Caenorhabditis elegans: one gene and its partner. The protein of the gene in region 1 purifies or fractionates together with the protein of each later gene. This does not show direct contact. Each region holds a gene or a part of one and is shown on either strand. Other genes may lie near its edges.

Evidence for each region. Proteins that work in one complex are often made in the same cells at the same time.
Region 2: the proteins of pfkb-1.1 (region 1) and fbxa-12 fractionate together in Caenorhabditis elegans (co-fractionation; one large-scale study listed by BioGRID). This does not show direct contact.

The regions. Positions count from the first base shown.
Region 1 is NC_003279.8:5,129,909-5,134,630, forward strand, and holds pfkb-1.1 (6-phosphofructo-2-kinase domain-containing protein), read left to right. Parts: upstream 1-1,611; 5' UTR 1,612-1,613; coding exon of another isoform or gene 1,614-1,631; coding exon 1,632-1,689; intron 1,690-1,995; coding exon 1,996-2,121; intron 2,122-2,175; coding exon 2,176-2,278; intron 2,279-2,334; coding exon 2,335-2,401; intron 2,402-2,458; coding exon 2,459-2,602; intron 2,603-2,650; coding exon 2,651-2,911; intron 2,912-3,418; coding exon 3,419-4,012; 3' UTR 4,013-4,197; downstream 4,198-4,722. Other genes in the region: Y110A7A.7 (Fungal lipase-type domain-containing protein), read left to right, coding at 1-80, 138-254, 317-628, 791-960, 1,010-1,139.
Region 2 is NC_003281.10:2,217,905-2,222,946, forward strand, and holds fbxa-12 (F-box domain-containing protein), read left to right. Parts: upstream 1-1,803; 5' UTR 1,804-1,892; coding exon 1,893-1,945; intron 1,946-2,669; coding exon 2,670-3,285; intron 3,286-4,254; coding exon 4,255-4,461; 3' UTR 4,462-4,537; downstream 4,538-5,042. Other genes in the region: srd-65 (Serpentine Receptor, class D (Delta)), read right to left, coding at 4,579-4,766, 4,815-4,893, 4,936-5,042.

The DNA of each region.
Region 1 (4,722 bases):
ATCCGGAACCTTGCATCTCGAAAAACAATGCGACTTTATTGTTTTTCAAAAAGGTGGAGTGCGATTATATGCGTGACGAGGTAAAAGATCATGAGATCTTTAAATATTCAAAAATCATCTGATTTAATTTTTTCCAGTGCTGGAGTGTGATTGCTGCCGACAACGACACAATATTCGTCAGTTTCAGTGGAACAAAATCGAAAGAGCAGCTGGTAACTGAACTTATCGAAAGCATTGGTCGGCCAAAGCACAAAGTAGGCTCATGTTTCAAGTGTTTGTCTGAGTACTCACAGAGCAAAGAAAACTTATTTTACAGTTGCACAATGCTGGATCAGTTCATTATTACTTCTACTCTGCTCTAAAAACAATGTGGTCACCAATGGAAAAACTACTGCGAGGACTGAAAGACTCACTTCCAGATCATAAAATTGTGTTCACAGGACACTCATTGGGCGGAGCTATTGCAAGTATTGCATCGACTGTTTTCGTTAGAAACTTTCCCGAAACGTCGAGTCGAACCTTTTCAATCACATTCGGACAGCCTAGAGTTGGAAATCTCGAATATGCCATGACACATGACAAATTAGTTGCTGGAGGAAGCTGGAGACTGATTCATGGAAGAGATATTGTGAGGGAGACTAATATTTAAGATTTTTTTAATGCTTTATTAGGCTCAAAATGCACCCAAATGAGCGAATTTCGTAATGAAACTTCTCAAACAAGTTCGAAATTTTTTTCTGGCGGTTCAAAATATCCTCTTTCAAAAGACTATTAAAAGTTTTTTTTCTAGGTTGCACATATTCCGTTCTGCGTGGAAAGCTATGCCAGATGGTGTATACCATTCTACAATCATGGATCCTATCACCATGGAGTCGAAGTCTGGTTTCCTGGAAACATGACAAGTCAAGATACGTTCAAAGTTTGCACCGGGACTCCATTGAACGAGGACAATTTGTGCAGGCAAGTGACAGTGATCGAAATCACGTGATAAGAAAATCTTCTCTTACAGCAACACTCATCGCTACTTTGACATCAACGATCACCTGTTCTACTTTGGACACCACGTCTCAGATTACGGTGTTAATGGATGTGTAGACCCACCGGATGATGAACCATTAATAAATAATGAAAATGTTTAAATAAATTTAAAAATGTTGATTGAATTGCGATTCTTTTTCTCGTCGTTTCAACTGTTGAAAAGTCGGTTTGAGAGAATATTCTCGCTTCCGTGTGTCACGTATATTTTCTCAGGACTTTCTTTTTATTGGAGAGAGAGAGGAGGCGCCAAAGAAGATAAGACACCCGCGAACTCGAGTGTAAGAAGAAACAAGGGAGGAGAAGAGAGAAAGAAAGGGATGGTTGAACACAGAAAATGAATTGTTGGTTATTTTTCTTTTCGTTTTCGGTTTCCTACTTTATTGTTATGGAAGATTGTGTCTACTTTCTTCCCATTCATAACACGAACCTTCTTTCTTTCTTTCTCTCTATCATTGCCTGTTTTTCTTTCTCTCCGGCGCAATAATATTATTATTGATTTCTTAATATTTGATTAAAATGATAAGCCTTTGTCTTCGGAATCATTTTGATAAGAGACGATATCATTTCGGCTAGAAATGTTGCAGGAGAACGAGATGCCTGGGCCAGCCGGCGTACCGCAGCGCAAAATGACGTATTTCGTGCCGAAGAGTGGTCAGTTTACTTTAAAAGAGGACTTACCATTTTTTTTTGCTCTTTTAGACTCGAAATGTGCCCAAATGAGCGAAATTTAAAAAGATAGTTTATTTCACATAATTTCAATTAAAATTGATTTCCGTCCGTTTCGACATGGAAAATTTGGCAAAATTGAAGATTTTAGCTAAAATCAAATAGCCCATTTTTTTTCGAAATTTTGAGCCGTTTTGGACGCATTTTGAGTTGAAAAAGTGCATAAAATTGATCGATTAGCCCTATTTTATTTTCATTCCACATTGTCTTCTCAAAAATCTCAATTTTCAGACAACTCAAACGAGCAGGTTCGAGTTCCAAACGTCATCGCACTTGTCGGACTGCCGGCACGTGGCAAAACATACATCTCACACAAACTGTGTCGTTACCTCAACTGGATTGGAATTAAGACCAAAGGTTGGTCCTGATTCGATTATATGTACGACATGAAACAAAAAATCAAAATTACAGCATTCAATGTCGGCGAGTACAGAAGAAGAGCGTGTAATTTGGAAGAAGAAGGCGAAAATGAGTTCTTCTCGCCAAACAACGCCAGAGGTCAAAAGATCCGAGAGTGAGATTTTACGAAACTATGAAGAAAAAAAATTAAAAAAATTCCTGAATTTTCAGTGAGTGCGCGAAATTAGCCATTGAAGATATGGGAAGGTACTTGGATAACAAGGAAGGAGAAGTGGCGGTGAGTTACAAAGGAAAAAATTTCAAAAAAATATATAGACATAAACTTTTTATTCAGATTCTCGACGCGACAAATACTACAAGAGACCGACGAAAGCTTCTGATGGAGTTTTGCAGAAATATGATGCACGAGCCACCATTCCGTGTCTTCTTTGTGGAATCTGTTTGTGATGATCCTGATATTATCAACTCGAATATCACGGTAACCTTTAGATCTTCAAAATAATCACCTTAACCCGCATATTTTCAGGAAGTGAAAATCAATTCGCCAGATTATAAAGGAATAATGTCTCAAGAGGAAGCAAAAGAAGACTTTTTGAAGCGTATCGAGAACTATCGAATGCAATATGAGCCACTTGATGAGGATCATGATGAAGAGCTGAGCTATATCAAAGTTATCAATGCCGGAAAATCCTTCTATGTTCACAATGTTAATGGTCATGTGCAGAGTCGTGTTGTGTATTTCCTGATGAATATTCATCTTCTTCCAAGAAGTATTTATTTGTCAAGAGTAAGTTTAACAAAAAAACCGAAAAAATTTTGCGCTAAAAATAGGTAACAGGTCTCGACGCGAAAATTTTTATTAAATGCCAAAAAGTGTGCGTCTTTACAAACTACTGTAGTTTCATTTTTTTTGCTGCCGAGTTTTCATTGAGTTTCAGTTTTCTCACGATTTGCTGTAAAAACGTTTTTATTTTTTATTTCACTTTTTGATAAATTAATATTTTTTTACCAAACAAGCTAAGAGAGCCCGTAAAAAAACTTGAATTTTAACAAATCGTGAAAAAAAAAGAAAATCAATGAAAATTCCGCAGCAACGAGAGTTTGAAATTACAGTATTCTTTAAAGGTGATGCCTTTTTTCATTTAACAAAAATGTCGTGTCAAGACCGGACACCGGTTTTTTTGGCACAAAATTCCGTTTCTGGGATATAATTCATTCAATTAACAGCACTGAGAATTATCAAGTATTTTTAAACTTTTATAGTTTAAAAATCCCTTTAAAAAATTTATTACAGCATGGAGAAAGTGAGTACAACAGAATTGGTCGTCTTGGTGGTGATTCCCCACTCAGTGAAAATGGTTTAAATTACGCTGGAAAACTTCGCGAATACTTCGAAAAAGAAGATTTGGACGATTTCCGTGTTTGGTCATCTCAAAAGATTCGTGCCGCCCAGACAGCTTCTCATCTGAAAGATCTCGCTGGTCATACAGAGTTCTGGAAATGTCTTGATGAAATCGATGCCGGAATATGTGAAGGATTAACTTATGAAGATTTCGAGGCTCGTTATCCGAAACAATTCGCTGAAAGAGATAAGGATAAATATCACTACCGTTATCCAAGTGGGGAATCATATGAAGATCTGGTTGCTCGTCTGGAGCCAGTTATCATGGAGCTTGAGAGACAATCCAATGTCCTTGTCATTTCTCATCAAGCAGTTCTCCGTTGCATTCTTGCCTATTTTACTAACAAAAATCGAGATGATCTTCCATATCTGAAGGTTCCATTGCATACAGTCATCAAGCTCACACCAAAAGCCTATTCCTGTGAGATTGAACTTTTCAAATTCGACATCGAAGCAGTCAATACTTACAGAGAGAAGCCACAATAGGAAGTATTTATTCTTTATCTAGCCAATTATCTATGCCAAATGTACATTTATTTTTTCATACAAGTTCCCATTTTTATGTCGGGCGTTTTTTTTGAGATTGCATTTTCCCTGTTTTTGAACAATTGCCTTTGAATTTAAATACGTTGTCGTTTATGTGAGAGTTATAAAGATTACATCGATTTCAATTTTATGGACTGATTGCAATATTTCTCGCTGTGTCATTTTCTACAATAATCTATTTTTAATGTATTAAACGGTCAGGAGCCACATTAAAAATTTAAAAGAAAACCAAACAAGAACGCGTAACTGAGTTGTTGTTATTTTAAAAGAAAAATCAATTCATATAAAAATTAATCCTTAAAGGCGCAGAGATTTATTCAGATGGGTCCCGACGCGCAAAAAAGTTTATGGTAATTGTGTTTGAATTTTTGCGGCTGCTTCCTCGTTTATTTTTCTTGCATTTTTCAATTTATTAAGGGAATTTTGTCGTTGTTTAAAACCATTGTATGAAAAAAACACAGGAAATCCCACATTTTTAATGGAAGTAGTTTATTTGTACTTTGAAAACTGATTTTAAACATATTCTGACAGAAAAGTGAAAAGAAAACGACATCTGAATAAATCCATGCGGTTTTAAAAAGGATTGCCAAAATATTGTGAAGTTACGATAAAAACAAAGCTGAAGCAAGTTGTATTTATTTTCTGCACAT
Region 2 (5,042 bases), on another chromosome or scaffold:
TAGGTATAGAAGATTTATTTTCTTCACGTGAACGCTTCCTCCGTTCTCCAAAACATTCACAAGAGATTTGAGAACCTCGTTTTTATTTCTTGTAAAGTTTTGCAGAACAAATGAAGATGCATGGTTCATTGCTATTTTCAGGTCCTTGAATGCCAACTCCATGAAATCTTTTTCTTGGATAATAGTCTTCCGTCCTTTGTAGATCACAGCTGAATCAGTGTATTCCAGTTCAATCTTATCAAACCGTATTGAAAGGGTTTCGCTCATAACGTCCAGCTTGATGGTGTCAAAACGGATTCCAAGCTTGTCAAGGGCGGCTCTCAAGCTTCGACAGACTTTACGGCAGGTTAGTCTGGAATTTAAATAGTTTTTGATTTAACACTGCAAGTAAAGTTTTAAGTCTAAGCCTACCATTTTAGCTCCGCCTATTTTTCAGCCAATTAACGTTTAGCTCCGCCTATTTCTCAGCCAATCAACGTTTAACTCCGCCTATTTTTCAGCGAATCAACGTTTAGCTCCGCCTATTCCTCAGCCAATCGACGTCTCAGCCAATCAACGTTTTGCTCCGCCTATTTTTCAGCGAATCAACGTTTAGCTCCGCCTATTCCTCAGCCAATCGACGTCTCAGCCAATCAGCAATTAGCTCTGCCTATTTCTCAGCCAATTAACGTTTATCTCCGCCTATTTCTCAGCCAATCAACGTTTAAATCCGCCTATATCTCAGCCAATCAACGTTTAACTCCGCCTATTTTTCAGCGAATCAACGTTTAGCTCCGCCTATTCCTCAGCCAATCGACGTTTAGCTCCGCCTATTTCTCAGCCAATCAGCAATTAGCTCTGCCTATTTCTCAGCCAATTAACGTTTATCTCCGCCTATTTCTCAGCCAATCAACGTTTAAATCCGCCTATATCTCAGCCAATCAACGTTTAACTCCGCCTATTTTTCAGCGAATCAACGTTTAGCTCCGCCTATTCCTCAGCCAATCGACGTTTAGCTCCGCCTATTTCTCAGCCAATCAGCAATTAGCTCTGCCTATTTCTCAGCCAATTAACGTTTATCTCCGCCTATTTCTCAGCCAATCAACGTTTAGATCCGCCTATATCTCAGCCAATCAACGTTTAGCTCCGCCTATTTCTCAGCCAATCAACGTTTAGCTCCGCCTATTTCTCAGCCAATCAACGTTTATCTCCGCCTATTTCTCAGCCAATCAACGTTTAGATCCGCCTATATCTCAGCCAATCAACGTTTAGCTCCGCCTATTTCTCAGCCAATCAACGTTTAGCTCCGCCTATTTCTCAGCCAATCAACGTTTAGCTCCGCCCACTTTTCAACCAATCAGCATTTAGCTGCACCCAATTCTTAACCATTCAGCGGAGGAAAGCAGCCCCTTCTGATTGGCCAGAAGTTGCTCAACATCATAGTTTTTTTCGTAGTTTTTAAGAGTTTCGAGATTATTCTGTATATTTTGAAATTTGAAAATGAAAAATTCGCATTGCTGTTAAAATGCAAAAAAACTTACCGTTCAATGGGCTCCAGCTTTTCAAAACATGATTGGCAATTTCCAACGGCAATTCTAGTAAAGTAGGCATTTTCGAAAGTTTCTTTTTTCAAGTAAAAACCTGAAGTTTTCAGTGTAAAATTTGAAGAAATTGGGAAGTTTCGAGTAAAATGAAATTATACCAATGTGTGACTGTTATCAGTTTAAATATTTTTTCGGGAAAAACGGATGGAGTCATACTTTTTTTACGGAGGAAATGTTTAAATACCATGCGTCATTGGAGTTTGTATAATAGAGAGAGTGAATAGACGTTTTTGGTTCATTTTTACGTTTGAATTTACATATAACTCCAGTAAAATGTCCAAGTTATCGCCAACTTTGCTCACTATCAGTATGCCTTTGGAAATTTCTGATGAAATTTTGTCAAAATTGCCTGCAATGGATCTGTAAGTTGAAGTTATAATTTCACAAATTTTTCCAAATGAAAGTCAAACTTTATGCTAAAAAATTTGAATTTCCCGCCAAAATGTTCAAAAAACATTTAATTTGAATTTCGCGCCACAAATTTTTAAAAATGTTGATATTAACGGTGCGTCAAAATTTATTTGTTCAATAACAAAATTAAATTTTATGCCAAAATTGTTTGGAATATTAAAATGTTTTAAAAATTTTAAATTTATTTTTGTACCCAAATTTTTTAAATATTGATTTTGGCGCCAAAATTTTTATTCTTTAAAAAATTGAATTTCGTGCCAAAAATGTTTGAAAAATTAAAATTTGAATATATATTTTTTTAAGATTAAAAACGTTTTTTTTTTTGAGAAATTTAAATTTGAATTTGGCGCCAAAATGTTTAAAAAATTAAAATTTGAATTTTCCGCCAAATAATTTTAAAAAATTGAATTTGAATTCAAATTCAAAATTTTGGAAAATTTTAAAATTGAATTTGGTTCCTAATTTTTTTATGATAAAAATTTGAAATGTGCTCCAAAATATTTTAAAAAGTTCAATTTGAATTTTCTGCCAAATATTGTTGGGAAATTAAAATTTGAATTCCGTGCCAAAAATTTAAGTTTTTTTCATGATTATATCTGATCTTTTCGGTACCAAATAAGTGTTTCCAGCTCAAAGGAGTCTTAAAATCTTTTTAGTAAAAATGCAATGTTCCAGACTATCCTGCCGTAAAGTGTGCAAAAGTCTGAGAAGCGCCGTTGACCAATCAGGAAACCATCTCAACAGAATCTCATTTGACATTTGTAATGATTTCGTTGCGATGGACTTAAACGGAAGTCAAATCAAATATACCGATGTTTCTGGTACTGCATACGTGACTTACAAAGGACGAGAAACAAAAATCGAAGAAGACAATTTCATGCGAGCAGCGTTCAACGACTTGGCGAGCGTATTGAAAAACGTGAAGAAGTTCGTTTTTCAGAACTATTCGAAAGTAAAACAACAAGCCATCACATCGTCGATAAATGATATGTTGGAAAATAAATGTATAGCCGTAGAGTCAGTAGTACTATACAACTTCCCACATGATGATATTTTGAACATCATTTCGAGTTGTCAAGCTGAAGTGCTCAAAGATATTGTATTATGGCACCGCGACGGAGTCGAGTTATCTGAAAGAATCACTTGTCTGGACCAATGGAAAAAAGCACGAACTTTGCATTGTCGGTTTTTGTTTTGTGATCTAGTACCAATTGAGCACTTTTTTCACTTTGAAGAGTTCAGTATTCAAATTGACAATCTCTCAATGCCAAATGCGATTAAAATTCGAGATGTGAGTTTTTCTGATTTTCACATGTATGTGGTATATAGTAGTAGTAGTAGTAGTAGTAATCAAGGGTGTCGGTTTTTCGTTTTTCGGTTTTTTGAAAATCGAAAAATCGAAAAATTTCGTTTTTCGTTTTTTCGATTTTTCGATTTTTTTTTTTTTTTTCAGAAATTAGCTTCATATTTTAGCCATTATTCTTCTTTTTAGAAGAAATGTGTATGTTTTATTATAAATTCAAGCAAAATTAGATTTAAAAAATCATATTTTAAGGATAATTTTCCGAAAATCTTTTTCGATTTTTCGATTTTCCAGAGAATCGAAAAATCGAAAAATTTTCGATTTTTCGGTTTCTGAAAATCGAAAAATCGAAAATTTTCGTTTTTCGATTTTCAATTTTTCGATTTTTCGATTTTTCGATTTTCACTGAAAAAAATTAAAAAATCGAAAAAATCGAAAAATCTAAAAATCGAAAAATGACACCCTTGGTAGTAATAGTGTGTAGTAGTATATAATTTGTATGTAGTATGTATGTATGTAGCATGTATTTATGTAGTATGTAGCATGTATATATGTAGTATGTAGTATGTAGTATGTATGTATCTAGTATGTAGTATTAGTAGCAGTAGTAGTAGTAGTATATAGTATGTATGTAACATGTATGTATGCAACATGTATGTATGTAGTATGTATGTATATAGTATGTATGTATGAAGTAGTGGTGTGTATGTATGCATGAATAACCTAATGAAATTTCTCGAAACCTTCTGAAAAAAGTTGCGGTGGTTTAAAAAATTACCGAAATTTGAAATTTGACCGACTTGTCAAGCACTAACTTTTATGAAATTACCATATAGCTATCTTAAGTTTTAACTTGATTTAGATACATTTAAAGTCGACGGATCACCAGATTTCGTAAATTTAAGTAAACCGAAATCAAGTCAAGACATCTTACTTGTATACCCAAATTTTTTTCAGGACCTCATGAACAAAACTACATTCAAGACCTGCACTATTTCAACTCACCATAATGTGCAATCAATTGAACTTGCAAGAATATTTCAACCGGACTATATGGGCGACATTGACTATAACATCAAATATTCTAATAACACTGGCACCTTCGAAATTTCTTTCAAATCATCACTTACTATTAGAGCACGGTTTGTTATTAAAAAATGCTGACAACAAAGGGATCTTGTTTCTATATTTTCCAAACGACCAAAATTATTCATATGTGCATTAAAAAAGTTTAATAAAAAACATGCTTCATTTTTGAAAAAAAAGCCCATTAATAATTTTTCAAGCAACACTGTTCACTGCTGAAACTCTTGTAGCCCAACTACCATCAGCAGACGGCTTCCGCACGAAGAAAGCCCGAACAGCGTTCCTGTACGGTGTAATGAAGTAAATTTGAAAAATTGGATCCAAGAAGCAAGGAAGTGCTCCTAGACAGGTTATTGTGTACTGAGAGATCAGGAATTGATGGCCTAAAGGTGATATATACAAATTATATTGGTTTGATAAGCTTCCCTTACCAGTGACTTGAATCAGAATAAATAAAAACACTACGGGGATATAACTAAGCATCGGCAGAAAGATTTGAAAGTTCAGGCCCTGGAAACCAAATTAAGCTATATAACAAAAGCTTACGCCTACAATAATCATTTTCCGAAACATAACACGTGTAGCGTCCGATGTGTTTGGGGATACATGAGGTTTAAGAAGCTTCATCGCCTGATGCTTCCAGTAGCTGCCGATCATTG